Struthio camelus: one gene and its partners. The protein of the gene in region 3 interacts with the protein of the main gene of each other region in a pairwise test. Links are inferred from orthologs where the notes say so. Each region holds a gene or a part of one and is shown on either strand. Other genes may lie near its edges. The genes, in order: SQSTM1, CYCS, SNCA and USP8.

Region 1 (7,633 bases), on a different chromosome or scaffold from region 3:
CAGCTGAATGCTCTGAAGCAGAAAGAGACTGTTAATCACTTAATTGGCTAAAATCTTAATATTCAGCCCCACCATGCACAGCATATTAAATGCATGTAGTGGTTCTTGTACCTGGGACTGGAAGTTTCCTTCTTCCATTTGTGTGGGCAGAGGATCTATCATCATGTCTTGTATCTGCTCTGCAACAGCACTCACTTCTGTAGCAGGATCTGTGCTATTCCAGTCTGGTTTGGTCTGACTATTCTGGTCAACAGTACTGCTGCTGGGCTCAGCACTGTTCTTCTCTTGATGGGGAGAAGCAGGAGTCACTTTGCTCCTCTGTCCTCCATGTTCCACATCAATATCAACTTCAATACCTATAAAAGCATTTGAGAGGAAGAGTTTTACAGATTTTTTTCCAAAGCTGAGCCCTGAAAGAGCCTTTGCTAATCCTGGCCTAAACTCGTTAGCATTTCTACAGTTTCCTATGGAACATGCAGGAATTAAGTGAGAAACTTTTGTTTTAAAACAAAGAAGAGTTAACCAGCAGACAGCCTCATCTTCCTCTTGGGACAAGTGCTCCATACATTTAGAGGGTCAAAGCAGAAGTTGTACACATCCATATAAGCAAGGCAAAGCCCTGAGTCATCTCTGACTTCATGATACAGTCAAAACATATCGTCTTTCCTCATTTCCTTCCAAATGGGGACTCCGGAAGGGTATTAAGTGGATGTTTTAAGTCTAGGCGTTTTTAGGACAGGGAATAAGTTAAGGTTTTCAGGCTTGGCAGCATGAGGTATCAGGTATCAGTCACAACAGCTCATTGCTCCTGTTAAAAGGAGCCACACAAAGCCAGTCTCAGGGATGGACAAACCGGAAGTCACTTACCCAGGGGACTCAGAAAAGCTGCAACACTCTCCCCAACATTCTTTAAGAAGGTGACATTGGGGTCCTGAGGCTGGCTGTTAGTAGAAGCTTCTAGAAAAACAGTTTCTGTTAGCACACAGCAGCTCAGTGGGGAGACGGCATTTATAGAGCATATCCCTCAAGAGATCTCCGTATTTGTTTTCTATTGCTTATCTACACTGCACAAGAAAGGCAGTATAGCGACGTGAGCCTTAACAAGGCTCTTGTCATTGGTTTTCTGTTCCAGAGCTAGTTCATTAGCCATGCTGCGAGAGGCACGTCTAGAGCACAGTAGTGATGAGCTTGATTTAACATAGCTCTCCTTGATACGATCTCAAGTAGTATCTCTGTATCCTCCTCTATTGCATGGGCCCAAGCATGCCTTAAGACAATCCTACTCTGCCCTGGAAGGTGCTAATTATTTTAAGCAAATAGTTTCAGTGTTTTTCCACCCAGATTCCACAATTCCACACCATGCTGCAGAAGCCTCATCTACCCCGCCACTTCCACCACCACCTTTGTTTACCAGAGCCTCTCCTCTTACCTTGCTCAGTGGGTGGACTGGAGGCTGCAGCACTGGCTTGGGCTTGTTCAGAGTTTTGACAAGGAGCTGGAGGAACAGGATATCCCCAGCGATGCATCCATGGGAAGGGTGGAACACCATGCCGCATCTTACGGAGCCAACGTCCTCGGGGAAGCCACTGGAAAGAGTAATGTTCATGTGACTGTGTTCATACAAAGATTACGAGCAGCTGAAACTAAAGGAATTGATTTGGTTTAGCAGCTTTCAGGGAAAATCCTTCTGCTATGGAGGGAGATTAGCAAACAGGATTTTGCTCACCTCAAACGGATGTAGCAGTGGACTTTGAAACATCACCATGTTGTGCTCCTTGTGGATGCCCTTACTCTCACAGGTGCTGCACAAGTCATAGTCTGGACAGACAGTGCACTTGAACCTAGCACCCACCACTGGTCCTTCACAGCCATCACAGATCACATTGGGATGCACCATATCACGGGGAGGCTCCTGGCTGCATTGTGCACGATGTTCTCGCTTGCACTCTTTTTTCTCTGTTAAGGAAAGGAGACTGTGTCTAGAACCAGGTTACTATTTAAAGGCTGGGAATCAGGCAGGGGAGAAGGAAACAAACAGCACTTGTTACAGCAGGATTGACTTACTAGGTCAGTTTATTTTTATGCTAGCTGCCAAACACAAGCCGGGGGCACGTAAGAGAACCTGAACCAAGAGTGAAGTGGTTTCACCAAAATACCTGCTCCTTGGTCTGAGCAGGCCTTATCCTTAATAGATTCTCTTTCCATGTTTGCATTTGATTAACAGCGCGCTACTCCGTTTGGCTTCTTGCCCTACCTTCCTGGGCATCGTCCAGACAAAAGGCTTCATAAGAGGGATCTAAGAAATGCCACGAGACATAACAGATGCAAATGGGGACAACAGCGACAGCTTGTTTAACTCCTTAGACTGTGGACAAGGCTCTGGAGGTATCTAAATCAACACAAGGCAGTAGGGGGCAACTAAGCACTGATGAAAGGACTGCAATTTCAGCTTCTTGACATATCACTGTTAACATTAACGAGATCAGTGCCAGTCACGTGTTTCCAGGTAGCCAGCACAACTAAAATGGCCTTTTCTGACCAGCTGAGACTACAGGGCTAGGAGGAAACCGGTAAGTTTGTCCACCTTACCTCAGCAGAGGGGTCTCCTACTTTGTCCTTCGTTCAGCCCCTCCTCCAGAGGCTGCGGGCTACACCGGCCCCCCGGGGACGGGGCGGGTGGCCTGTTCAGGGCCAAAAACGTTACCTTTGATGTAAACGCGGAGAACACCGTCCTGGACATAGGGCAGGGCCAGCTCCAGTTCTTCATCGCTGGAAAAAGCGATCAGGTCCCCGTCTTCATCTAGAGAGAGCGGGACTCGCCGTCAGACCCCTCGGCCGGGTGGCACCAGACGCCCCCCGCCCCCCGGCCCCGCTCACCCTTGTAGTGCATGCGGAAGGCGGGCGGCGGCCCGGCCCGCAGCAGCCCCTGGAAGAGCTCGGCGACGCGGTCGTGGATGGCCTGGTAGCGGGCGGGCGGCGGCAGGGAGAAGCGGCGGATCTCGCGGGCCGCCTCCTCCTTGCCCAGCAGGTAGGCTTTGACCGTCAGAGCCGCCATGGCTGTGGCGCAGCAGGAATTGCCGTCGGCGAGCCGGGCCAGCGAGCGAGCGGGCAGAGCGCAGCGCGGCGGGCGGGGCGGCGCCCACCCGCCCGCCTTTATAGCGCCGGGCCGGGGGGGGGGGCCCCGCAGCTCGCCCCGCCCCTGGCGCCCAGGCTCCGCCCCTAGCGTCTAAGACGTTCTTCAGATTCCTGGCCCCGCTTCCAGGCCCCGCCCCCCCGCTTCCAGGCCCCGCCCCTGTCCCCGCCCCCGGGTTCTAGGCTCGCCCCAGATGCCGGCCCCTCCCCCCAGCGGCAGGCTGTGCCCCGGTTCTAGGCTGGCGCCGGGTTCTGGCTAGCAGGGGAACCCCCGGGAGCCGGGCCCACCCCCAGGGCCAGCCGCCTCCTCCCCGCCGGGGCCGCGCAGCCTCCGGTAGACCCCGGCTGCTGCCGCCGATGCAAAGGGGTCGTTCCCCCCCCCCCCCCGTTAAACCACCTGCAGCCGCAGCAGTCAGCACCTAGCGTCAGGGGCTCGAGTTTGCTCCTGGGCTGCCGGCCCCGAAGCTGCGGTTTCCGCGCCCGGGGCTGGATCCTCGGCCCTCGGAGCACCTCCGGGGAGCGAGGGGGCGCGGGAGATGCAGGAACGCGTCCCCGCGGGGGAACCGTGCTCGCGGCTGCCGGGGTTGAGCAGGTGCCATCGCCGCCCTGCGGCTGCCACCGCCGCGGGGTGGGCTGGGCGCAGAGGGACCCGGCTGGGAGCGCCGCCCTGGAGGGGAACAATAACGTGTCAGCTAACAATCTTTCCTGAATCCTTCTTTTTTTTTGGGAGGAGGGCTAAAAATAAAGATACGAGGATAAACACAACTGACATTAAGGATGCTGTTCTGGGGACTTTCCAAGCCGGTTGGCAGCGGTGGTTTTCTGCGGATCAGATGCAGTCGACAGGCCTCTTAGGCCGCAGGAGAGTCAGCTGGCCGACAGCGCTATCTGCCCCTTCCAAGCGTAACTGAATCAAGAGGGATCAATGACTATTAGGTTCCTAGTTGGTGTTAATTTCCTCTCACCTAAGGGCCTCGCTGCCCTCAGTGTTAGCGACATGTTTCTCAGTCTGAGAGAATACAAATTTAGGAGAAACTGTGTCATGATTTATCGTCTTTTGAAATCAAGAGAAAGTTAAGTTTGCTTTTCCACGATGGGGAGGGAGTTTGTTTCTCGACCTGATACATGGGGAAACAGCTGCCCTTCCACATAGATAAATGTTTGGCAGACGTGTGGCAATTCTGAAGTCGAGGCATTTTCTGGAAAACAGCGTTCAGGGTAGATAAAATTGCCTTTTTTTAACTTCAAAGGCCCGGTTTGCTTCCTAGCTATTTCACGGCCGGTTCTCCAACCAGAAGCGATGAGTTAACGTTTAACCGGGAGAGGAAGTAAGCGACGCTGGGCGGCGAATGATTCAGCACGGTTAGCAGCACTCAGTACTGAGCGGTTTGGGCACGAAGCGAAGGCGCAGGCCTCTCGCCCTCCCTTCCCCCCGGTTGCCGCGCGTGCGTCTTATCTCTGAAAGCGCCGCTGAAGGGTGACGGCCTGACATCACCGTACGCGTCGCACGTTGTTGCACGAAGCCAGCAGAGCGGCGGGCGGGCGCGGGCCGAGCGGCGCCGGGTGCTGCCGGCCCGTCCGAGCCGCCTCCCCAGGCGTCGCCGGGGACCCGCTGCCCCATCCGTCGCCTCCCATCTTTGAGGACCCCCCTGGTTTGGAGCCAGGGACGCGGCTGTCGGGAAATTGTTTCCGTAGGTGCCCAGTTGGCGTCCTGCCCCAGCAGCTCCTGCCGCCGCCGCCCCGGTGCAGACCCTGCTGCACCCTCCGCCGCGATCCCGCAGCGGTTTGTTCCGAAGCTGACGGGTCCTTTCAAGGTGGTCGCGTCTCCGGATTAACGTCGACGCCTGTAATTCTCGAGAGAGTCACCGCGTTAAGCGCGGAAGCCCAAGTTTCGCTCCGGGTGAACTTTAAGCCACTTGGCAAACGTGGAAAGGGCCAAAAGCCAGAGGGAATTTCCCCTCGCGCCTGCTGCGTGCTGAGTCACCCTCGCCTTCCCCTGACATCACGCACTTTTTCAAAACACACGGAAAACAAAGCTTTACCCCCCCCCCCCCGGCCTTGTCCTTAGCTGAGCTCCGGGATCACGGGGCAGCGGTGACTCGCGCCGCCCCCTCCAGCGCGGCGCCGGGGGCCCAGCTGGCCGGGGGGGCCCCGAGAAACGCCGCTGCGTCCCCCCCGCCGCGGCTGGCTGCGGCCCCGGCCCCGCTGCACTCGCCCCCCCGCCCCCCCCCCGGGTTTGGCTTGAGCTCGCCTGAACTCTGCGCGTTTTCTGTGCGTTTCGGGGCAGCTATCCGCGGTGGAACAGCAAAGGAGACGGGGGGGGGGGGGAGGAAAAGCTGTTACAGTTGCAAATTTTGACGTTAGGGAGGAAGGGCTCAATGTTAAAAAATAAGAAATAAACTACTCAATGTTTAAAAAAAAAGAAAACAACTATGACAAAGGAGCAATGATCGTCCCCACAGCTCGTGGTGCTCCCTCTGCACCCGCTCCCTGCTGGGAAGCGTTTAAAAATATCGCGTGGGATTGGTGCTCCGCGGGCGCGATCGCTGCACATCCCCCCCATGTCCCCGCTCCCTGTGGCCTCAGCAAGCTCCCCGGGGGCGCAGGAGGGCGGCCAGCCGCCTCTCCGCTTGCGAGCCTGCTGGCGGCGGCGGCGGCTGCTGCCGCTGCTGCTGCTGGTGCTGCTGCCGCCGCTGCTGCGGCTTCTCCAGCGGAGGCGATTTCTGCCGAAAGCCTCGCTTCAGCGGGGCCCGCGACGCGTCGGGCCTTGGGATCCCCCTTCGGGGCCCTGCGGGCTGCGTGGGGGAACCGAGGGGGCGAGAGGCGGGTGACTCAGCCCCGTGTCCCGTGTCCCGTGATCGCCTCCCTGCCGTGACCGCCCGTCCCAGGCGGGAGGGAGGCGGGCGCGCAGCGGCCGGACCCCCGAGCCCACCTCCCGCCTCCTCTCTCCGGAGCCGGCTGCCCCTCAGCGGCCTCTTACAGCGCGTTTTAGGAACGCGCGTGTGTAGGAGCTGGGCTGAGGCGCGAGGGTCACGACCAGAAAGTTTGCTCTGGAGAACTGGATGCGGAAAAGCTTCTCTCTCAGAAGCGCAGGCAGAAGGGAAGGTCAAGCTGTCCTCCGTTTTTGAGGTTTTTTCCCAAGGTTAGCTCATTCAGTACCTTTTGTCAGTGGTGTCACGCGGAAGTGCGCTCTAAGCACAGAAGAGTCTAGGACTCTTTTTTCCGAAGAGGAATAAGTAGGGGAAAAAACCTCTGTTTAGCAGGCGCGCAGGGCAAACATCGTGGCCGTGCTGTGCTGCGCAGGCAGGAGGGCTCTCGTGTTTCCAAAAGCGAGGGGGAACTTTTCGCAGCCTCCGCTGACTGCTCGAGGTGACTGCTGCTCTGCAAAGGTGACTCGTGGCTTCCGCCCCGAATTAAAGCCGGAGCGTATGAGCAAACCTGATGTAAACACCCTGCAATGAAATCCGGCATCATTTGGAAACGTTTGTAGCGGAGTAAACCAAGTTATCATGCTCTTCAAGCGCAGGGCTGTGTAAAACAAACAGGAAATGAAGTTACTGTGTTTCATGAAAAGGGTAAAACAGCAAGCAGGCTTTGCTTAAATCAGCCCTGGGACGGACCGAGCGTGACCTGATCCCAGATGGGCCAAACTCCAGAGCCGAGCTCTGGGGAGAGCCGGGTTAAATCAGCTATAAAGCCGGGTTACGTTTTGCATCTAGAAGTAATGTATGCTTTCTATTTTTAATTTTTGTTACAGCCTCCAGCCCCGGGGGTTGCTATCAGGCTGCCTTCAGTGGAAGGCCCTGCTTTCTGAAACGGGCTCGGGATTGCCAACGTCAACGGCTCAAAGAGCGTGAGATCAGCTCAAAAAGCACGTTCTCTCTGTTTATTCGCCATCGGGGTTTTATGTCTTTGCAGTTCACATTTTAAACTTGGCACGGCAAAAGCACCCAGAAGGCCTGTCAGAACTTACTTTTTAAACAGAGTAAATGTCAAAACTGAAGCAGAAGGGAGGAACTTTAAGAGTAAATGCGAACTTTGTCGGTCTGAGATAAAAGTTGCAACCGCTGGCAATTTCGCTTAGCCCCACCTTTTTCCAACAGGGCCCAAGGTTTTTGATGTGCAATGGCAGTATAAAGTTCCTCCATTTCTTCAGACCTTTATGAAGACAAAGTGTAAAAGCTGAAATTAGATTAAGCTTTGTCTTAGGAGAACACTGTAATTAATTGTCTTGGAGAAACTATTCAGATTATCCTTTTCTCTTCTGCTGCCGATAAACCCACATCCCAAGTGTCAGGAACATTTTGCGTATCTGAAAATAAACGCCGAGCATCCGATGCACTAAACTGCGTCACGTCGTTTCGCCGAACTCTTGAACGGCAGAGAGATGGCGTGCGCCTTTCCCACCAGCAGCTGTGACCCGTCAGCTACCTCTGGAGGGTTTTTCCATTAATTCCTGTGAACCTATTGCTGGTTCCCGGGTTTAAGTTGTGGATTTAAG
Region 2 (7,516 bases), on a different chromosome or scaffold from region 3:
AGGAAACAGAGCCAGACTCTTCTCAGTGGTGCCCAGTGAAAGGAAAGAAACAATAGGCACAAACTGAAACACAGGAAAGTCCAGCTGAACATAAGAAAAAACTTTGCTTTACTGTAATGGTGGTTGAATGCTAGAATAGGTTTCCCAGAGAAGCTGTAGAGTCTCCATATTCTAAATCCACTGGACACAACCCTGGGCAAGCTGTTCTAGTTGATGCTTCTCTGAACCGGGGCAGCTGGACTGGACCATCTCCTGAGGTTCCTTCCAACCTCAATGATTCTGTGCTTCTACGAAATTTTTCACTCAGTAAGTCACAGCATTATAAGGTTGTGTGAGTGTTTCAGTTATCAAATATTTTGGCAACCTTCCAGCTGCCCACTGTGCTTTGCACCCTGCCTGAACTGGCTGGTCTCTCTTTACCTGTGCTACCTGTTTGCTGCCCTGAGGTGAGAAGTGTGCAATGTCCCACTTGAAATGTTAACATTCAATTGCACATGGCCCACTTACTTTTCTAATAGTTTACTGCAATGCCTGCAATAGTTTACAGGGTGTTGCCTCACCCTGTGCCTAACTGGAGCTGAGAACAACATCCTGCTTCCTCAATTTTCAGCCTCTCCCTCCTCCTGAAACCTCCTACAGTAGGAGGTTTCTTCCCTAGTTCCAGGCAGTTGCCTCCAAACTCACCCTACAAAACCACATGAACAGCAGATACAGGAAGAACTCTTGAGGTCCTCCTTCCTCTGCTAAGATCAAATCCTACAACTGACACACTGTACCCTAGGATGCAGAAAATATTTCTGTACCAAACTGCCCCAAGCATGTGATCTTCAAAGCACAGACAGGTGACAATACAACAATTCTTTTTAATTTGACAATAGCTTTTATCTTTTCACTGACGACAAATATGCATTGAATGCAATCCAAATATTCAGTTTAATATAGCTCTTTTCATTTATTAAAAAAAAAAACACAGAGATATCACAATGTTGGCTGAGACAAACGCAGAAAGCATAAATACAGTGCCACATGACATGACCACACACAGAGCTTAAAAATCCAACTAGGATTTGTTTGACAAAAATGCTACACAAAAGTGTATGTTATGGACAAATTTAGCTTTGCCTGAAGAAGGAGCCTAATATATGGTGACTCCAGAGTATCTCAGAGACTCTGCCTTTCCCGCTGTTCCAAAGAGTAGCATATTTATCTTCTCTAACACAGACTGTGCAAAACACAGCAAGTAGCAAAGATTTGAGAGACACCATTCATCAGCCATTTTCATCCGAGGACTCTTCAGTCTAACATGTCTTCTCTCTGTCTTCCTTACCTGTTCGGAGTATAGCTGAACAGCTTCCTGTCCTCTGTCCAAATACCCACTAAAAGAGATAATAAACATAAGACAATCAGTACCTTCCAAATTACAGGACTCGCACCCTAACAATGCTGAAAAGTGACCCTCAAAGCATAGGGTTCCAGCCCAGCCCAGCTGTATTCCTGAAAATCTATGGAGAACTACTCCTTCCTCCTATACAATTTCAAAAGACAATTAAAAACACGTGGTTCTCTGAACAGCCTCAGTACAATTCAGAAATGCTAATGGTGCAAATTCATCAGTACTGTTCTATGACTTGGTAAGATTTATGAGTCAGGGTATGGCAGTTTCTTAAAACCAGCATCCAGCACCGTGATTACAGACTAAATCACTGACACAACAACAGTTCTTACCACTGCACTGCTCCAGATTCATGCTTAGGTAACCCGCAAACGCATTAAGTCAAATCCTCTCCATTTGAGGTACCCGTTCTTACTGGTGAAAACTTATTTTCTAAATCAGCGTATGTTAGGCAGAACATCAGCTTCTACTGAACAATTTAAAAAGTATGCAATCCCGTGAATACTTTAATATCATTTATACCTGTCTAAAATGGTACTACATCAAAACCAGAGGCAGTCACTCTTAAAGTAGACATCTGAACAGTCAGGTATGAGGCAGAGAAGACTCTCTGCCTCTGTTCATTTTACAGGCTGATCTTTAGCATATTCACCTTTATGGCTGAAAGTCTCACAGATCTAGTATGTTCCCTGAGAACATTATTTTATTAAAGTTTACCAAAAATGGATTAAATTGTCTTGAATTAAGGCACAACTTTCAAAAATAGCTTTCCCAGAAAAATAAAAATAACATTGCTACAATGTCTCAACACGTGCCTCGGAAAGGTTAGCTGTAAAGCTCAACATGCAATGCTCCGCAGGAGCATACCTGCACTTGGAAGGCAAAACATACTAGAAATGAGAGTTACAAAGAGTCTGTGTTCTGTGAAGATAAGAAGGGGAGAACTTTTGAAAGAACGTCCGTGGGCTCCAGTCCACATCAAGTGCTCAAAGAAGCTTGCATCAGTCCTAATCAAGTGCTTAAAGAAGCTTAAGAATTATTGTCAATTCTTAAAGCAGCTTAGAAGGTGCTTTCAGCTCATTCCTCTTTTAAAGATAGAAGAAACCAGGGGTTTTATCCTAAGTGTTATGATATAAGTTTCATAAAGTTAGCTCCTAGAATCATATGAGACACTCAACCCTTACTTAAAAAATTAGTCTATAGCCCATACAATTGTGGTAAAAAGTCTAAAAACATAAGTCAAGCGCATCATGAATGCTCAAAATCAGATGGTGATTAAAATGAATAGAAATATACTTAGTTTTTACGCAACATCTCTTCAGCCAACCTCCTAATTTTGGGAGGTTGGCATGATTTGAATTTCGCGAAACAAAAGTCAAGATACCTATTTACAGTGGCTCAATTGCACATATATTACCTGGCTTGCCATAAAGTATATGAACTTAGCTATATATTAAAAGCAAAGTAGTTTTATTATAGTAAGTTTATAGTCAAGAAGATGATTATGTATATATGGTAATTGTTATAGCTTAGTATCATATTATGCATATACCTAGTGACGAAGTGTTAATAACTGGATGGACACATCTGTTTGATGCCGCAGACATGATAAGCAGTGCATAAAACATACACTCTCCAACTTATAAGGGACAATTGGCTGAATAATCTTATCAATTGCCAGCAAAATTTGACATCAGAAGAACCTTTGCTGTCTTTTTACCCTGTCCTTATTCCTTCATTCTTCACGTTGGCACTCCAGATAAGCTCTGCTCCACAACGTGGTAACAGCCATCCAGCTTTGTACATGATCACACATCAGTTCCAGCATAGCGCAAGAGCATGCAAAAAGATGTTACTCTCGTTCAAATGCCAGGCACTTCTGGGAAATTCTGTTACGCTGGCATTTTGTTTAATGTCAATAATTAGGGCAAATAGTTCACCTTTTGTGACGTTCTGCCTTTTGAACACTGGATATTACTACTACAGGAGGCTTTTTAAGAACTCTTCATCCTCTTTGTCAAGGACAGAAAGAAGATGGTGCTTACATCTGAAATTCAATATTCAAATCCTGTTTTAAATACTTGTAGTTTATTGATATAATTTTTTTCAAGCTTTACAACATTGTCCAACTTGCTGGGACAATGGGTCTGGGGCACCCTCCTCTTTTCTTAAGGTGGCACTTTCAATAACACTCTTAGCTTTTTCAAAACTCAAAGACTTTAGCATTCCACACGAGATCTAAGATACGGATGTGCTTTTGCCTCCTCCTCAGTTCTTTATGGTGGCACCTTCACTAACACGCTTATCTTTCTCAAGTTTGCGAGATTTTTAGCATCCTTTTGCTAACTGCGATATTTCTATCACTTTATTCTCCGGTTTCTCTTAAACAACTCTTTAAAATGCAACAGCCTCAAAGTAGGGGCTTAGCCCCTTGCTCGCCTTGACTTAAAAAAGAAACACGCCCGCACTCACGGTGATCGTCTCCTCAAGCTTTCGAAAGTGCCAGAACTTGAAACCCCCAGAGGCAACGGGCGGCAACGGCCGTCACAGCCGCGCCGGGGGAGGGGAGGGGCGGGGCTGGGCGCTCCCCCACCACGTCACGGTCGGGCCGGGCCGGGCCCCGCCCACCGCGCCGCCACGCGGCCTCCCGAGCCGCCCGCTAAGGTCGCAGCCTCCGCGGGGCGCCTCGTGACCCTTGCTTCGCATTCCCTTGTGCGCACGCGCCGGGGACCCGCCCCGCGCTCGTGCCTCCTGACGCTCCTTACGTATCAGCGTTACGTCTGATGCCCTTCCGCAAGGAGGAGGGGGGAGGGGGAGAGGGAAGGAGAAGGCAACCCGGCTCCCCCTCGCCGCAACCTACCCCGCTAGCCTCCAGCGCCGTGACGTCTATCTTGGCGGACGGGGGCGAGAGCCAATCAGAGGTCTCTAAGGCGGTCCTTGACTGGCTGCCGCGCTAAAACAGGGGCGGGCCGAGGCCGGCGTGGCTTGGTTGCAGCGACACCGGCTTACATAGGGCGGGGTACGGCGTGTCCTTGGGCTCAGTCGTCGGGACGGTGAGCGGGCGGTCGGGCTGGTGATCACCGCCGTGGGCGCGGCGCGGCGCGGCGCGGCGCGGGGCGGCCGGGCACGCAGGTGCGTGCAGCCGCCGGCGGGGGGCGGCGGGGAGCCGCTGCCAGCCAGCCAGCCAGCCAGCGGTTACCGTGGCTCGGCGGGACCGTTAGGCCCTGGGGGGGGGGGAAGGGGAGGGTTGGGCCGGGCCGGGCCGGGGCCGGGGCGCCCGCTGCCCACCTCCGTCGACCCAGGCGGAGGAGCCCGGCGTCGCGGCCTAAGCAGGCGGCCGGGCTGCGGCAAGAAGGTCACCGTGGGGCCTAGTGGCGAGGGCGTCCGTGTCCCGGGATGCCCTGGGGGGGCACCCGGGCCCGCTCGGGAGAGGTGGTCGCGCCGCCGGCCCCTTGCGCCCTTGCAGGGTGGCGGCGCCGGCCGCGGCCCTGGGGCCGTGTCAGGAGGAGAGGAGCAGCGCTCGCCGCGAGGCTGTGCCCGCGCGGCGGGCGGGCTGCCCGCCTCAAGGGCAGCCTCGGAATTGCGGTTGCCTTTGAGGGCTTGTATGCAAATAGCGTTGCTCCTGGCGGGTGCTGAGGAGGCATGCCGGCTCGTGGCGGGAGGCAGGCGGGCAAGTTGCTTGCCTGCCTCCCTTGGCTCCTTACTAGGTGGTGTGCTGGGTTCCTTTTCGAGCAGAAATGGAAAAATACACAGATCGTTAGTTTGTCCTTCTTACGAGTGTATCAGTGAGGATGATTTTTTTTATACAAGATTGTTCATGACTAGGGAACTGTCTTAATGGAGATATTGAAGCTATGTGACAGGAAGGGAAATAAATATTGCTGAAATAATTTCTGAAGGGTAGAGTGATATTAAATGCTGTAAAGCAATTACTTTGGGTGGGGGAAGGCTTTTCCTGCTGTTCAAGCATGATGTTTATCACCTTAAATATGTTCTGCTTAGTTCAGTGATTCTATGCTAATCTTCAAACCCAGGAAGTTTCTACCCAGAAACTCCAGACCCAGAAACCCTATCTGTGGGAAGAAACTCTGGAGATTAATGGGCTAGTGTATATGGTTTTGTAAACCAACAGGACCCTTTTAAGGCTTCTGTTAAATAGTTGACCTTGATGTTGTGACATTAACCTCTGTATATGTTCTCACCCTAGTACTGAAAATGGGAGATATTGAGAAGGGGAAGAAGATCTTTGTCCAGAAATGTTCCCAGTGCCATACAGTTGAAAAGGGAGGCAAGCACAAGACTGGACCCAACCTGAATGGCCTGTTTGGACGTAAGACTGGACAAGCTGAGGGCTTCTCTTACACAGATGCTAATAAGAATAAAGGTAAACTCAAAAGAGCACTTTTAAGTTACTTGGCACAAAAACAGCAAGCTTTCAGTGATAGGTCCGGAAGTCTGCCAAAAAGTAAAATACCATGGAGGACAAGAAAATAAATGTTGGGGGGGGAGGGATTTGTTTGCTTATTTTTTAAGGTCACTGTCTCTTTTTTTTCCTCCTTTTCGCTAGGAATCACCTGGGGTGAGGATACTCTGATGGAGTATTTGGAAAATCCAAAGAAGTACATCCCAGGAACAAAGATGATTTTTGCGGGTATTAAGAAGAAGTCTGAGAGAGCAGATTTAATAGCATATCTCAAAGATGCTACTTCTAAGTAAACTTTTATCTGCTGCCTTATTTATTTCACAAAGGAGATGGCAATGGAAATGTCTGTGATGGTTTTTAAACTTTCTATTTTTACATGTACTGTATCTAACCTTAAAATTTGCCTCACTCGCCAAATAATGTTGCTTGTGGTGGGTGGTTGGAATACATGCTTGTTTGGCAGCCATAACTTAAGGAAACCTTATGTAACTGGGTAGACATCAGTGAATACAATGTTCAGTCATTCTTGATCATGGAATTAAATGGAGGAAAAAAAATAAACATTTCCTGCCTCTTCATTGTAAAAAATATCAAGCGAGTCATTGCAAACAGCATAATAGCTTTGGCAGCCCACCTCTTCGTGGTTTAAAAAAAGTAGGGTGGGTTTTTGCATCCTTCCAAATGCATCATTTGTAACATTACCTGCAAGATAACAAAACGGTATTTTTCTAATCCTGACCAGTGCAATGTGTGGTTGTATACGTTCATCTGGCTAAAGCTTGGGATAAGAATGCAAGTTCATCTGACTTCATAAGTACTACCTGTGATATGGCAGTTGTACCAACCCACTTCTAGGGGAAGCATGTTGCCTGTTTATCCAGACTTTGAGAGCTGCATGCACCAGTAGAGCATAGACTATATCAGAAAAATTTTCAATTTTTGAAGTGTTGTTGAAACCCTTTGTTCAATAACTCTTCAGAACATACCTGTTCATAGCTTAATAAATGGAACAGAGAACTGTACTGTCCTGGAAAGATAAGTGCTGAACACTAAGCTGAATGTTACTAAATCTCACTTCAACAGGAGTGTTAACCTAAAATCTATTGTTACAAGCAAATTCTGCTGAAGGGGTGTAGGCAAGAATGCACTGGTAGACTAAAAGGAGGCTGTCTTCCTCTGTGTCTGTGCTTGCCTTGTGTCATTACTTTAGAAGGTTCTATTTCATGCAGTGTAAAATAGTGTGTTTTTAAAGTTCTAACTGCATCTTTTCATACTAAGTGAATTGTTAAGCTGAATGTATTTACTGTGTACCAGTGGCAAGGCCCAATTCAAAGAGTGATCAACATTGTAAATTAAAGAACTCAAAATCTTGTTTGCTGTATGTGTCTGAAATTTAGTGAGACAAAATGGGAGTGTAGAAAAAAGCTATATGTTTGGTTTCGGGTTTTACACCTGAAAAACACTTCTTACAAGAAAAGTAAAAGCTCAGCATGAAAAAAGTAAATGCTGATGGAGTTGATGTGAAAAACGAATGCAGTGAAGTTGTAAGGTAGGTTGAACTAGAAATAGAGAAGCCAGATTCTTCCACCGGTGTTCTCTTACACGCTGTTTCTACTGTGCTTTCCAGGCTGGGCACGGGTAAACAATTCAAAGTAGCTTGGAAGCTCTAACTGCACTGTAGAATTGGATGAGTTTTTAGC
Region 3 (7,455 bases):
TTTCCCCACTTTCTCCATTGTTACCTGCCCTATCTCAGTTGTAGTAGCTCTTCATTAATGAGGCATAGAGAGAAGCAGCTATGGATGTACAGTTGTGTTGAACATGAGGGTAATCTCAGAAGACAAGATGACACTGCCACACAAAAATGTTACTGCTGGGGATCTTAAAAACTGAGAAAAGAGAGAACAGGCTCCTTCCTAATGAGCGCGTTCCCTTCCACTTCATTTTATTCCGAGACAAAGCAGCCAGCATGGTTTATGATCAGCTCCTGAGTGAACCTCTCAAGCTTCTTCTCATAAAGAAAGAAAAAACTGCTGAAAACCCACAGGTTCTACAGGATTCTATGAAGCCTCTTTCCATTTTAGCTTTTATATCATTTACTGTATCAAAAAAAATCACATCTCCAACCTTAATGGAGTATACTTCTTGAACAGAGTGCCAGCTGGTCTCCTGTGCTGTAAGGCACCATCTATGATGCACATCTTGTTCTGTATAGGGCTACATATATGGCTCCACAGTGTAGCAACACAGACAGCACAGTGCAACAGCTTAAAACCAATGTTCAGCTTCAAAGAAACGAAACCCAGGAGGGCTCAACTCATCTTGTTTGTCTTCCAAGGTTCTCCTATGAGCTTTCTTTTTTAAAAAAAGAAAGAACGAAAAACCCAGAAGAGTAGCTCTGAGAACCCAACCTTCATTCTTGCAGATGAGCACAAACATCAGGGAACACCAGACTAGCAGCATGATCTCCGCTGCTCACCTACCCACATAGAGGACGCCCTCTTTCGTCTTTCCTGCTGCTTCTGCCACACCCTGCTTGGTTTTTTCTGCTGCTGCTACGACTCCCTCCTTCGCCTTGGAGAGCCCTTTCATGAACACATCCATGGCTGCAGAATCACACAGCTCTGGAGAAGAGAGGAAAAACCACCACACACACACAGGTCAAATAGAGGTTTTCTGCTTTTTTCAGAAAAGGAAAATTTTGGTCAAATTGATTGGAATCAGTTATTTAAAAATTAGACTATAGATAATTTACACCCATCTATTTTGTAGCTTTCATCCACATTTCCCTAGTAATACGTACATACTAAGCTAGCATTCAGTATTTCAGATAAACTATACAACAGCTAAACACAAAGAGGACTGTTACACGAATCTCCTTTACATTTTCTCATACGTTGCCACACATAACAAATTAAACAGCACTGCAAGAGCAGTACTCTCACAAGCCAAGAACGGGTTCGGAAATTTCAACAGAAACCTATAAATAAAGGGGTTGGATAACGCAGTGCCAATAGGAAGATGGATTCGTTGCTACGACAAGTGCTTTCACTGCCTCTACCAAGGCACCGCTCCCTTCAAAGTGAAGTTCTGTTCATGTACTGATTGCAAGATTCAGCCCCGTGATTTGATGACACTCCACATCAGCTCATGCAGAGGAAAAAAGGCAACATAAACACTGCCAACTTTAAAAAAAATCCTAAGTGACAAAGGTTCACTTGCTATTGTTAGGAGAAAATGCTGTTATAACCAAAAAGGACCTACAGCAAATAAAAAGAGCTGAGTTCTTCCCCCAGTATGCAGCATTTTGTGCACAGTCAGTGTCACTCTTCTGCAAACTGAGTTTCTCTGTGTGTTCTCTGCATGCACCACGAATGAGAAAAGATTTTGTAAAGAGGGGAAAAAAAAGCAAGGATATGCAATGTTTAAAGCAGAAAAGCTAGCAAACTAGTTCTGCGACAGATGCGCAACCCAGCACTACGTTTAAATTAAAACTAAAAAGTCAAGTTCCCTTCAACAAATGAGTTATCAACCGCCTTTTTTTTTTTCCTTCTTCTTTCCCCACCCACACAGAAAAAAGAATCAGCGCCCGTTATTTTCTCCTCTGCGCTGAAGGCGGAGTAGGAGGAACGCACGTCTAGGGAAACACCTGGGCTGCGGCAGCTTTCTACCAGCTTGTGAGCAGCGGTTGGAGAGGGGCAGCCGCCACCATCACCACCAGCCCGCCGGACCCTCCCGCTCGCGGCGCCATTTCCCCACCGCCCCGCGCGCCGCCCGCTTCCAACCAACCGTTACCCAACGGTCGCCCAACGGCCGCGCGCCCAACGGCCGCCGGCACGTCCCCAGCCACGGGGGCAGCGCCAACAGGTACGTGGGCACCTACGGAGGTGGGCGGCGCCACCGCATATACATTTATACATATATATATATATATATATTTAGAGAGAGAGGCACCTACAGAGAGGGAGGGAGGGCAGCGTGACCTGCGTACATGGAGGCACCTACTCAGAGAGAGAGTGGGCAGGGCGACGTGGCCATATATTTTTTATATATATATATATATATATATACACATACACGTATAGACAGGCACCTAGTGAGAAGAAGAGCAGGGCGACGTGACCAGCGGGGCACCCACGAGCTCCCCCTGACACAGACAGGACAAGCTGGCAAAACCACCTGACTTCGTCCCCCCGCCCCGTCCCCCCAGAATGATGTTCAATGGGAGGTGTGTATGTAAATAAATATATATATATTATATATAATACCGAAGCCCAGCCCTAGCCATTACAGGAACGGAAAGGGACGTTCCCGGCTGCCACACCACGCGGCGCCCTCTCCCCCCCTCCCCCGGAGCGCCCCGGGCGCCCCCCCCCCCCCCTTCACCGCCACTTACCGCCGGGCTCCGCCGCCGCGGACCCTTTCTGAGGAGGCTCTGAAGCGAGGAAAAGGGCGAAGCGCGGAGAGGCCCGAGGGGAGCTGCCCCCTTCTCAGTACATCCCTGAGGCGCGGGAGAGCGAGCCGGGTCTCCTGGCGCCACCTCGATGGCAGCCCGGCAAGCAGCGAGTGTGAGGGAGAGGCAGGGCGAGGGGTGGAGAGAGAAGCACCGCGGGAGGGAGGGAAGTAGGGGCGGAGGGAGGCTCCCATCACACACACCCCCCTTCTCCCGCCCCACCCTGTGGTGGGGTTTGCTGCGGGGGGACGGCCCCCGCCGCCTGCTCCCCACGGGAGAATCGCGTCAGGGGCCTCACGTATCTTTGGCACCCACCTCCGTGCTTCGTCAGTGAAAACGAAGTTGGAGGCATGATAAATTGGGAGCTTCCCCCCCTCCCCAGTCAAGGCAGATCCAGAGGGGAAGACAAGTAAAAGAGAGACCAGGGTTCTCGCTCACCTGTGGCTCTGCACACCCACTACCTGCTCAAAACAGAGTCTTTAGACACCTGGAAGTGTATGTATTTGATGGCAGTTGCAATCCACCTATGTTCCACTTCATTCAGGCTTAGGAATTTTTTGTAAGCCTCTTGCTACTTTTTCCTCTACTTCTAAATCCTTGCTCTTAAGTGACTTCAGAGTTAAATGCCACTGAGTTTTCATAATATTTATGTTCCCAGGTCATTTTTTATGCAGAGACTGATGCTTTTGAGGATGCAATTTGACTTAGTCCTATCACACAAGAAATCTGCACTTCAAGTCAGGAACATGACAAAACACACAGCCTAGCTCCTGCCAATCCCTGTGCCCCTCTTAGCATCCTCCACCATACACTTCATAGCCACTGCTACTCATGTCTCAATCTGATGCATTTATGAAACTTTTTCCTCAGTAAAGGGAAAGCTGTCAGACTTGTTCTCTATTTTGGTAGCCCTATTTAGGCATGACAAGCCAAGACCAGCAGGAGACAAGGTATTAGAGCAGATGGACCTGCAGCCATAGTACACTAGTTCATGTACTGTTTGAAATCCTGCATGACCTACAGAAAGTTTCCCTCTCCATTTGTTTATTCTACTCCAAAAGGACAGACAGAACACGCTGTAGCCAATACAACGATCTGACTTGCAAGAAACATCTTCCATTCCTCATCCTATGTAGGAATTTGCTGCTCCCCTGGTTTTAGTTTCATTCTGAACATGCAGCTGGAAGGTTCCTTTAGAAGCCTTGATGTTTCTCTACTGTATAAGAAAACTTGTTTGGTTTATCCTGCTACCAGTTTTAATCAGGTGTTCAGCAGTGTACTGTCTTTATGTAAGATATTGATAGAGAATATGAATCATTTCCTCATAATTCTACCTTCAAGAAAGGCTTTAAAAGCATAGTAATTACATTAGGTACCTCATCTCCTTCACACTAAGGAAATGTTCGTTCTTGATAGGGAGACAACTAACTTGTGGGCAAAGGAACATAGTTATCATTTATTAGACAGTAGATCAAAGGGGTATGCTTTCTACATGTGAGAAGTTAGTTTTCTTGCCACATTATTGCTATTTACAGTAATAGAATTCCCAAAGATTATTTAATTCTCAGTTATTTAAGTATTTCTACTTAATATTCAACAAAAAGCTTAATCCCTTGGAGTTCAGGGTTCCCCACACGCACTTGACATAAGGAAAGAACATGTATGGAATGCACCTAGTAGCTTCATTTTTTTCACTGACCATATATGTCAATTCTTTCTGGACTGTCTTAAATGTACATGTCAAAACTGATACATCTGCTCTAGAATGTAGTTTGTTGAATCTTCAGAGTCAAGGAGAGTAGAGCAGCTGGAAAATTCCCCGTGTGAACTATCTACATACTGAAGTGCCTAGGATCTTTACAGAGTTAGGCCTTTTACCAATAGTTCTTAAGTTCCCAGGTACCTTTTACAAGGAACATTCCACTAACAGAAATTTTCCAAGATTAGTTTCAAGAATATAAAGGCTTCTTTGCAAAATACAGTTGACAATCTGAGACTCAGTGTGCACTGATTCTGCTACATCACAACATCTACCACAGCCTATCATCAGTATTTTATGATGTTTGTATATAAGACACTTTAGATGCCTTGGAGAAAGGATTTCAGCAATATATAGAAGATACATACACTAACAGAGGGTATTTTTGTTTTAGAAAATGGTGTTACCAGGCCTTAATCTTTTCGTTTATGACAGCTCCTTCCGACACTGTCAGAAAAGTCAAGATTCAGAAATAACCTGTAGAGTTCCAGGTCAATAGACAGGTTGTAGAAACTCAGTAAAAATTGGCTTATGCTTCACTCTGGGAAACAGGCAGTTATGGAGACACAAGTCAATGAAAATCAGTAGTTTTTGTCACAGGACAAGCAGGATTGTTAGCTGCATTTTTATTTCAGTCACAGATTTAACTGAGCATTATATTTCAGCTACTTTAAAATTTTAAGTAACAGTAGCAGAAACCAGAAAAACTTTCTAGGAATTCAAAGGATAAGATTCAGAAGTACAAATATATGTTTTTACAAACTCCCTGCTAAGCTGCAATCCTGAAGAGCCCCAGAGAAGTAAGAAGTTCTGTTGTCTTAGAACTCCTCTGCACCCGTGCATCACATTGCAGTGTGACAACCAAATTTAACAATGAAGTTTTTAATCAGTGAGTAGTTCCTGGCAGATTATATCAAAAGCATACTTATTTTCACAAGCTATTTCAAACATTCCTTTTTCGTTATATTGTTGCCTCCAAGGAGGGAGGCAGCTAAACACCCTATATACAAATATAGGACATGTTATATACAAATGCCCTATAGCTAGCTAAAAGACACAAGCCATCTCAGGAAATGGATAATGAAATAGTTAAAACTTCTATTCTCCTTAATTAGACATTCTGTAACCAATCACTCAGCTAAACCTCAAACTCCCTCCACAAAATAATAAAATAGCAACTACTTTCAATTTCAAGCTCCCTTTTGCCAACTTAAGAATTAAAGGTAAACTAAAGAAACTTCTAAGGCTACTTTAAGAAGCACCAAGGTGCTTTAGTGAGAAGCATAACATTACTGACACTAGCCAAATGATCATAAGTCAGTTACCAAAACAATTTAAGTTTGGGGGGGGGGGGGGGGAGAGCATTATACTATTAAACTTCAGTGCTCAGTTTTATAAAGAGGTTGGCTACTGCCTTTTGTGGCAAGTATTGCCACTTTCACCAAAGCATATTGATCTGACTGAAGTCATAACAGTTTCTTATGTGCTATAACTGCTGTTTCTCTCATGCTTACCTCTTACAAAGTTTCCACAGAAGACCAAATCACCAGCATAAAACTTAGTGCCACTAGCCTTAAGTATTCTTATGTAAGTTGTAGCCAATTTTGAACCTAACTGACCTGCTTCACTTAAAGGGACATCTGCACCATGTCCAGGTGTACAGTTAGAGTCAAAGTCTTAGTAGTATTTCTTACATCACTTATACCCTTCTACAACAGTAAAAGATGAATACAGAAAAATAGAGCAGCACACAATGAAATACTCCCCCACAATGATTGTTTACAGAAGCTATGAGGAGAAGCCTTTGATAACATGGTAGAAAGCTTAAGCTCAAGTTCTACCCTTCATTCTGCCACTAAAATAAAACCCTGCTTACTATAAAAGCCTTACTGTCACAAAGTATTTTTAAAGTATTTCCTGTAGCCTCAGCGATACCATAGCAAAAACAGTGTAACATCTTACCCTTTAGTAGAAGCTTCATATTGGTAGAAAGCTAACTTTTAGGAGAGCACATAAAGCAGTTACAAAAACACAAGGCCTACTCAGACTCACCCTACACACCAACTTTAACGTTGGCAAGCCCAGCAGTTTATATACTTTAGGGCTTGTCGGAAGCCATTCTTTCATCATTCCTTACAGCTGTGTGAAACACTACTACCCAGGCCAGTAACCTTAGTCCCTAAATTAGAATGCCTTTCTAAAGGACCAGTATTGAGCTCCTTGTTTAAAAGTTATCTTCTCGCTTTGAAGTTAGATTTTCTTTGTCCGGTATGTAAGTGAGTATGAAAATAAAATCCTGCTTTTTGATAAATTAATATAAAACTGGATTTATTTTGTTAAAACTCTATGAAGAAGAACTTGGAGGTTTACAGCTGCTTCTTAGCCTTTGTAAGGCTTCTTCTTTGTCTCGTATTTATCAAAAGGAAGTATGTTGTTCTAGTACTAAGCAAAGCAACAGCTTGCAGGATAATAAAAACAGCTAGTTAAAAGTAGAGAGGCAAAGACAAGAGGGATCAGTTAGCACAGTAGAAATAAGATTTAAACATTCAGCTGTAAGATTCAAAATAGCTGCCTCTGAAAAATTTCAGATTGGAGCATAAGAGACACAAAAGGAAAAAAAAAAGAGTATGAATATGATAAATTCTTCATTCTGCAAATGGGTGGGACTTAGTCTAGAATTAAATATAGTAGGGAATTAGAACTGCATCTCCAAGGTTATTCCTGTTTAAACAATATTATCTACAACACCTGTTTTTCTAGGTTATCTCCATAGCACTATTAGTATAACTGTAAGTTCTTCCCTGAAGCCTTTCCTGTCTGAAGAAAAGATAGTAGCAAGCAGATTGTCCTTTGATCACATTTAAAACAAATCTTTGTTTAATGGCAGTGTTTACTTTGCATGAGCAGCTAGAGCAAAAATCAACTAGATAGTAATAAAAGATCCTGGCTCAATCTTATATT
Region 4 (7,655 bases), on a different chromosome or scaffold from region 3:
ACAAAACCTGAGAACTGTAATAGGCTAACTTATTCAAGAACAGCATGAGCCCCCCTCCTCCCACTTCTCTCCCTCGCTCTCCTCCTAAGCAGTAGTAAATCGTTCTGTTGCTGTATGTTCTGAGCAAGCGTACAGCCATAGGCTGGGTGCCCTATGGCAGCTAACATCCATTCTAGTTCATCAACAAGTTCTTCCTTGTCTCTTAGCATAAGCCCAGATTCCCTCCTCCTCACCTCATACCAGTCTCTAGCCACTTCTTAAAGAACTGCAGTTTGCTGCCGCCTTACTGCTAGTAATCTTATAGAAATCGGTGCGAGAAAAACCAGTTCATGAAACAAACTGTCTGTATTTGACACAAGAAACATCTGATGGGTAAGGGCCAGGCACCAGAATCATCATCTTCTGAAATCCAGAAGAACTGCTCACTTTCGCACTCGGACGCGAGTTTCTTCATTCACTGCACTTACTCCTCCTTGCTTCTAAGATTCAATAGAAACTTTTGCTAACTACTCTCACTTCTCCTTTTACTTTCCAAAAGTTTTTTCCAACTACTCTCTCACTTCCTTTTATCCACTGTGGGTCTCATCTTTTTATCTTACTGTCATCAGACATTCTATTCTGATTATTGTTTTGAAGTCAAGTTCTGTAGCTATTTACTGACAATTCATTTCCATGTAATAGAAACTTGTTATTGGCCTGCTAGCCTTTACCCTTTAGCATTTGCTACCTCAAATGAATGAGCTCTGTTCCCTGTCAGAATTGAGTAGGTGTTGGGAAGACTTTAGGATTTCAGAATCAAAGTCTGCTCCTTTATATATACATATAAGCAGCTGATTTTGAACCTAAGTTTTTGCATATATCCCATTCCTAATTTTATTGGTCTCAATACTTCCTCTAGCAAAATAAATTGCACAAATGAAGTTCAGGAGTAGTAAACAGACAGCAGCAAAGTGCACGGAGAAAGACCAACTACTGTGAAGTACATACTGCATCTGTGTTTGTTTCCACTAGAGGAGTAGCAACTGAACTGTACTTTTGATCAGGAATTTCATATCAATTTAATCAGGAGAAACTGTTGCTGGTCCAGTCTGCGTTGATTAGGTTACGCTCGCTTTTGCGAGCGTTCCATTTCCCCGTCGCTTCTGATCAACGTAGCAATACAACGGCAAAACCGAGGCGTAAGTGAACCCACCAAATAATACGTGTGGCTCTTTCATACATCCACAAGGGAAAGAGAATAGTTCCCTCCCCAGCAAGAGGAGAAAACTGGATCATAAAACCGTAAACGCAAGAAGTGATTCAAGTCATAATACCTAAATCTACTATTAATCAACTCTGTGAGGAGGTGGGAATGACCTGTTTCATGTTTACCAACCTTCTTCCTGAAAATGAAGATCAAAGTCTGGATCTATTTATCCTAAACCATGGCTGAAGCATTGTCTCCATCTCCTTTTTTATACTTAAGAGCACTGAAAATAAGGTGGATATCCAAAAAATACAAGGGAAATCATGCGTGGATATTGATGGCCATTCAAAATACTTAAAATGGATAGTTTTACACTGACAGAGAAACATACCTCTTGATAACAGGTTTTGCTACATCTAATTATTATGACTGTTTTATTAAGGATATGAGTAACCTGTAAGTGGAATGACCATAGCCAGAACAACGCACAGAAGCAGTTATGTTGCAAGTAGCACACGCTAAGGCGGTCTGAACTGACATGGTAAGTACTGTGCACCCATCAATTCAGGTATGTAATAAAGTATTGCACTTATTTTTGTGTCCAAGACTTCAGCAAAGAAGTGGCTTTCTCACAGGCATGAAGTTTTTCAGTTCTTTTGCAATTAAGTTTTATTACTTGTATTCTGTACACAGGGGGTTGGTTTTCTTAATATCAGTATTAACCTAGAGATACAGCACTTAAACATGACTGCATCTTAAAATTCAATCAGTACATTTATCTCTGTGAGCCATATGCATTTCTTGCAGGCTCTCGTACTGTTAAAGCTACAGACCTCGGTCCTACAACTTAATGCGCAGAGGCAGATTATAATCGCTGGGGCCCCTCCTAGCGCGGCCAGCACGCTGCCCCGGAGCACCTAAACTTACGCCTGTTTGCTGGGTGCTGTCAGTCATCGTAGCAGTTGCACAGCGTGGGTCTGTCTTGGGCCACGTACCGTTTTGAAACGAACGACCTCCGCGGCAAAGCTTTGGGACCCCTCTCATAGCGTCGTAGCAAGATCGTTTCTGACAGCGTTTGCTGATCCAACAGTCAACAGTTCAACTAACACTGACTTCTGCGGGGTGGGGAGGAGGAGGGTAGTTCACGACGAAGTTATTTTAAAAGGTTAGGTTTTATAGGGGAAGTTTGAGAGTTAAGCAATCTACGTTTTTAAAAGAAAAAAAAAAGCAGCGTCACTTTATTTAGATTAAAAAGCTACTTGAAATCCGCCCAACGTGCACGAGCAGCGTAGGTAATGGAAAGCGGGGGAGGGGAAGGCGAGGTTTAACGCTCCTGCACGGTTACGAACAGGTTAAAGCCGGCTGGCAGCCCTGCGCCGCGCCAGGCCCGCGGTAACGGGCGCCGCGGCCCGGCGCCAGGCCACGGCCAGGGCTTCTCCGGCGCCGCGGCCCTCGGCGCGGGCACCGCTCCCGCCCCGCCCGCTCTTCCCCGGGGGCTGCGGGCTGCCCAAGGTCACCGCGGCGCGGCCGGGCCGCAGGGCTCGCGGCAGCGCCGGCACCCGCCGGGCCTCCGCGCAGCGCGGCGCGCCCTCGGCCGCCCCCGGCTCCGCTCCGCGCGGCGGCGCCGGGCCCGGGGCTCCCCCGCAAGGGCGCCCCCCCGGCCGCCCGCCTCCCGCCCGGCCTCCGCACTCCTCCCGCACTCACCGCGGCGGGATCGCGCTGCCTCAGCCCGCCGGCCCGCGGCAGGCCATGTCCGAGCGCGGCGGCCGAGGAGACGCTACGCGGCCATGGCTGCGGAGGCGGAACTCGGCGGCAGCGCCCGCCCCGGGCCGCCGCTCCCCCCGGGGGCGGGGACTCTCCGCCGCCCTGCGCGGGCGGGGGGATCGGCGGCGGCGCCGCCAGAGCGGCCGGGGGCGGGGCGGGGCGGGGCAGGGGAGCGCGACGGCGGCCGCACCTCACGCCTACCTCAGGGGCGGCAAGCGTGTGCCGGCCTGACCGTGCCGCGGGGTTTGAAACGCTGGGAGCAGCGAGGGGAGGGGGTGCTGCCGCGGCTGGTTCCCGTGGCGGTCGGTGGGGCGGGTCGGGTCGTCGAGATCTCACGCAGGCAGGAGGACGACGCGGTGTCCCGCCACGTTACCCGTCTTGCCCCTACCTGCCTAGCGGTGGGGGAATGTAACGAAGATACTGCAATCTGCTGCTCCGTTTTTGCGATCTGATCAATGTGTGCAAGGATCTAAAGGGAAGGTGTTAAGAGGATGGGGCCAGACCCTTCTCACTGGTGCCCAGCAACAGGACAAGCGGCAACGGGCACAAACTGAAACACAGGAAGTTCCGTCTGAACACGAGGAAAAACTTCTTTCCTGTGAGGGTGGCTGAACACTGGACCAGGTAGCCCAGAGAGGTGGTGGAGTCTCCTTCCCTGGAGATAATCAAAACCCGCCTGGACGCGATGCTGGACAACGTGCTCGAGGTGACCCTGCTTGAGCAGGGGGGTTGGACTAGGTGATCTCCAGAGGTCCCTCCCGACCTCAACCATTCTGTGATTCTGTGATTTTGCCAATGGAAAGATCTTGTGCACTGGAGCAGTTTCCCTTGGCCATTTATTGGTTTTTTTTTTTTTCAGTCTACCTTGTAGACTAGAGAAGATGGCCTGTTACCAGTATTTCACACGTTTACGTTTCTTGTTTCAGCATGCCTTTTAATAGTGTATCCTTGAAGCATGCTCAAGCTCAGATCACTTAATGCTTGCAGAGACTGGCAAAGTAATCCTTTGTGTGAAGTGTGCACATATACGGCATCCACAACATACCATTTTGCCATAACAATGGGTTACATACTGATACTGTAAGTATGATTTTAAAGATCCACAATAACGAAATATTAGCTGCGGATACTATTGCAGCATCTGTGAGGTTAGTGCTGTGCACCCCCTCAGCACTGCCGCCAAGCCCTGGGCGGTGCGATCTGCACTGCGTCTTTCCTTCAGCAGCGGAGGGGCAGAGATGATGGAGGTGGGCTGTGGTCTTTCCTGCAAAGTGCTGGGGCAGAACAGGGCCAGGGAAGAGCATCTGTGCTCAGAGAGGTGGGGAGAGAAGAGTGGGTGCTAACACCGTTTTGTGCTGCAGGATCCAGCATAGAATGAAGCTGGTGGGGAGATCCCCCTCTCCCTCAGGAAGAGCAGGTGGGCTGGGAAACTGAAGTTAACGAAGATGGACAGAAGGAGAAGGATGCTTGTCTTCATGTAACCCTCCAAAACTCTACAAAACTCTATTGAGTAATTGTCCAGAAGGCTGAATCGTATCACAATACTTCATGGTACTGTAATGCTGGTTGGTATCAGGTATCATGAAAGGCTCAAATAATATCCTCCATCTCTACTTTGCAGACCAGATATGCAAAAGCTCCTGGGACAAGTTAAGTACAGCTCTATGCCTTCTCCTATATTATGCATTCATAGAGATTAATATCAAAGTGAGTTGAAATATTCTAACAACATTCAACAGGATTGAATGCTATTAATAACACTATGGTCTTGTACAATACTTTTTTCAGAACTGCTCCAATTGTTTTAGGAGAGATCGGTAGGAAGTCATGCAAGAAAGTTATGATAGCAACAAGAAAAGATTTAAGTTCCCTGATGTCAAAGACTGCGTCCTAAGCGTGCAAATTAATGCTGAGTATCATACTAGCTGCTGTCCAAAATGGGCTCAGTGTCCCTTTTAATATTTAACTTATATGAAGGAATTGTGTCAGAAGGTCTTTTGGTCTTACTTGTACGGGCAAAACCAAACCATATATAGAAAGGTATCATGGAGGACCTGCCTATGCAATTAGTTTTACCTTATTCAAGAACTTGTTAGAACATGCTACTATGCTGACTGTGTTATAACATGCTGCCTTAGGTGTTGCCTTAGGTTGAAACACATTTTCCTATCAGCACATATGTTACTGTGTAGCAGTACCAAACAAATAAACAAAGGAATTTAAAACAGCAGAAATCAGAATGTGTTTGTTAGATTATTTGGTTAACAAGACCTAAAAATTATTCTCACATGACTGGATAAAATAAAGGAAAAGAAACAACATACTTCACAGATGCAAACTGTGTTTTGACTTGCCTATATTAGACATCAAATGTCTCTCTCTTAAATGTACTTTTGATGAATTCTGTCAAATGAAAATACCATTAGAGATTACTATTTCAAAGATGGACGTTGTACCCATGATAATGAAAACTCACATACGGTGTTAATGGAACTTTAACGAAATGTATACTGCATTCCTAACTCTATGAAAGATTTTCTGTGATACAGATAATTTCATTTTTTCCATACTACTGCAGCCAAGACCACAAAAAATTCCTGCTGGTTGCTGCACACCTGTGAGGACATAGTAACGTTTTCTGTATAATCAACTGCTACTGCGTAAATGACAACTCGTAATATGCCAGGGGAAATGCTTTTGTTTAGAGGCACAAAACACTTATCAATAATGGAAAAGAGATGTAATGAATTTTGGAGCTAAAGTTTCTTTACTCTGATGGCAAAAGCTGCAAGAACGAGGTTTCAACTTGTTTTTAGTGCCCCCTTCTGGCTGATCAGTCCTAGAAAAATAAGTAAACCGCCTCTCGGACATGTCAACAGGTCCCAGAGCGAGGTGACCTATAAAGGAGGATTTAACTGCCTTTCCAAAAAGCGTGTGGAGAATTCGTCCCGTTAACCTAACCCAAAGCAAGAAGTCCACGAGAACTGGACGGAGTCCTGTGGACACAGCGGGCAGCAGCGTGAGCACAGCCCGTACGCTCAGACAGGAGGCCTCAGTTCTCCCTCCCATGTAGGAGCAGGAAAAGTCAACTTGTTTCTGAACTTGGTGTGGGACAGTCTGTCCCGCACTAAACGGATCAGTTCCAGTGGTGAGTAGAGGATTCAGTCCTGTAGCATTTCTGAGGCAACGTTAGTTCTTTGCAAGCTCGTTATCTGCATTTTCTTTAAAGACATTTAGGGAAGTCAAGGGCAAAAAATAATGGCTATGAGCACATCGTTGTGACAAATATTCCCCTAATTATCTAGGTGGCCTGACCATCTCCAAAAACAACTAAAGGAGAGTTCTGTGACTGATCCCTTTCCTGAAGGATGTAGGTCAGGGGATCTACCCTTTACAGCAGTACTGGAGGCTGCCTGACACAATAGTTCTGTGGGGAATCCCAGCTCGAGCTTTTTGCAGCTTGGTTGAAAGAAATCTCAGAAAAACATTTCGTGCACTGAGGTTATCAGGATCGACGTGAGTTTGAGGTCAAGGCCAGCGCTGTTTGGCACAGGCAGGGGCAGTGATGGTTTAGGATCACTTGCGACTTGTCACCCACACCAGGTCCTGTCTTTATGACCCCAAAGCGTGGCTAAAAACCTTGCTCAGACAGGTCAGCCAGGGCAGCAGGGCCCGGGAGCACAGGCAGAGCCCCAGCAGCCACAGGGCAGTCAAAGCTGCCCCTGCGGCAAAAGGGAGCCTTAACAGGACCCCTTTTAAGGACTGGCAGGGCCCCCCCTTCCCTCTTTCGTAAACTGCTCGCAGGGAGGCTCCCGCCCTCCCCCGTGGCCCCGTGACAGCTCGCGGCCACCCGCCGCAGCCCCGTCAGGGCCGGCGGCAGGCGGCCAGCGCCCTGCCCCCCGCCGGGCGGGAAGCGCCACAGAACATGGCGGGCGCCTCCAGCCGCCGCTTCCCCCGCCTTTCCCGGCGCCGCCGCGCATGCGCGGCAGGCGGCGCCGAGGCCGTATCCCTCCGCCGAGCCCCTTTTGTCGGGGATATTTGTGTAATAAGATAATACCTGCGCCCCATGGTAAGTGCCGGCGCCCCGCCAAGCGCTGCCGGCGCGGCGGCCCCGCGCGGCCCCGCGCAGCCCGGCCCCGCTGGCGGCGGGGCAGCGCTGGGCTCGGCGCGCCCCTCCCCTCCGCCCGCCGTGTCCCTCCGCCAGGCGCAGCGGGGACTTTTGTGTGGGGCTTTTGGGCGCCGATGAGCGGCGGCCTCCGGCGCCCCTGGCTGTTGTCGCGGGCGGCGGCGGCCGGGCCGGCAGCACGGTAAGGCCCCCATCCCCGCGCCCCGTCTCTCCCCCACCCCCCCGGGCCGGCCAAGCTTTTCCAGGTCAGTCTGCGCCTTTGTATAGGGCCCTGTTACCGGATGTGGAAGTTGATCTCTTCGCTGGTAAAAAATAATTCCACTTCCCCCGGAACCCGGCGCCGCGGCTCCCTCCGCAGCGCCCAGCCCAGCCAGGATTTCCTGTCGGGGAGAGCGGGCGCGCTGGCCGGCCTTCCGGGGACCCCGCCGCGCGGGGGGCGCCGGCCGCGCCGCCGCCCGCCTGGGCCGCGCCGCGGGGCGCCGAGCGCGGCCTGCGCGGCGGAGGGGCCGCGCCGGGCGCGGGGGCGCCGCCGGGGCGCGGAGGCCGGCCGGGGCGAGGCGGGGGCCGCCGCCGCCGCCG

Evidence for each region.
Region 1: the proteins of SNCA (region 3) and SQSTM1 interact in binary tests that used the Homo sapiens proteins (3 or more experiments, as listed by UniProt). The link is inferred for Struthio camelus from reciprocal best matches to the Homo sapiens genes SNCA and SQSTM1.
Region 2: the proteins of SNCA (region 3) and CYCS interact in binary tests that used the Homo sapiens proteins (3 or more experiments, as listed by UniProt). The link is inferred for Struthio camelus from reciprocal best matches to the Homo sapiens genes SNCA and CYCS.
Region 4: the proteins of SNCA (region 3) and USP8 interact in a two-hybrid assay, tested with the Homo sapiens proteins (2 studies listed by BioGRID, with this or other methods). The link is inferred for Struthio camelus from reciprocal best matches to the Homo sapiens genes SNCA and USP8.

What each region holds. Positions count from the first base shown.
Region 1 is NC_090954.1:7,034,030-7,041,662, reverse strand, and holds the start of SQSTM1 (sequestosome-1), read right to left. Parts: upstream 3,170-7,633; 5' UTR 3,056-3,169; coding exon 2,878-3,055; intron 2,801-2,877; coding exon 2,705-2,800; intron 1,957-2,704; coding exon 1,727-1,956; intron 1,587-1,726; coding exon 1,430-1,586; intron 958-1,429; coding exon 868-957; intron 357-867; coding exon 112-356; intron 1-111. UniProt on the Homo sapiens protein: Molecular adapter required for selective macroautophagy (aggrephagy) by acting as a bridge between polyubiquitinated proteins and autophagosomes.
Region 2 is NC_090943.1:38,123,141-38,130,656, reverse strand, and holds CYCS (cytochrome c), read left to right. Parts: upstream 1-4,281; 5' UTR 4,282-4,412; exon of another isoform or gene 4,413-4,525; intron 4,526-5,600; 5' UTR 5,601-5,608; coding exon 5,609-5,777; intron 5,778-5,960; coding exon 5,961-6,109; 3' UTR 6,110-7,188; downstream 7,189-7,516. UniProt on the Homo sapiens protein: Electron carrier protein. The oxidized form of the cytochrome c heme group can accept an electron from the heme group of the cytochrome c1 subunit of cytochrome reductase.
Region 3 is NC_090945.1:13,021,229-13,028,683, forward strand, and holds the start of SNCA (alpha-synuclein), read right to left. Parts: upstream 3,062-7,455; 5' UTR 2,679-3,061; intron 907-2,678; 5' UTR 887-906; coding exon 766-886; intron 1-765. UniProt on the Homo sapiens protein: Neuronal protein that plays several roles in synaptic activity such as regulation of synaptic vesicle trafficking and subsequent neurotransmitter release.
Region 4 is NC_090953.1:12,457,681-12,465,335, reverse strand, and holds the start of USP8 (ubiquitin carboxyl-terminal hydrolase 8), read right to left. Parts: upstream 3,057-7,655; 5' UTR 2,891-3,056; intron 2,389-2,890; exon of another isoform or gene 2,114-2,388; intron 1-2,113. Other genes in the region: GABPB1 (GA-binding protein subunit beta-1), read left to right, coding at 7,017-7,019. UniProt on the Homo sapiens protein: Hydrolase that can remove conjugated ubiquitin from proteins and therefore plays an important regulatory role at the level of protein turnover by preventing degradation. Converts both 'Lys-48' an 'Lys-63'-linked ubiquitin chains.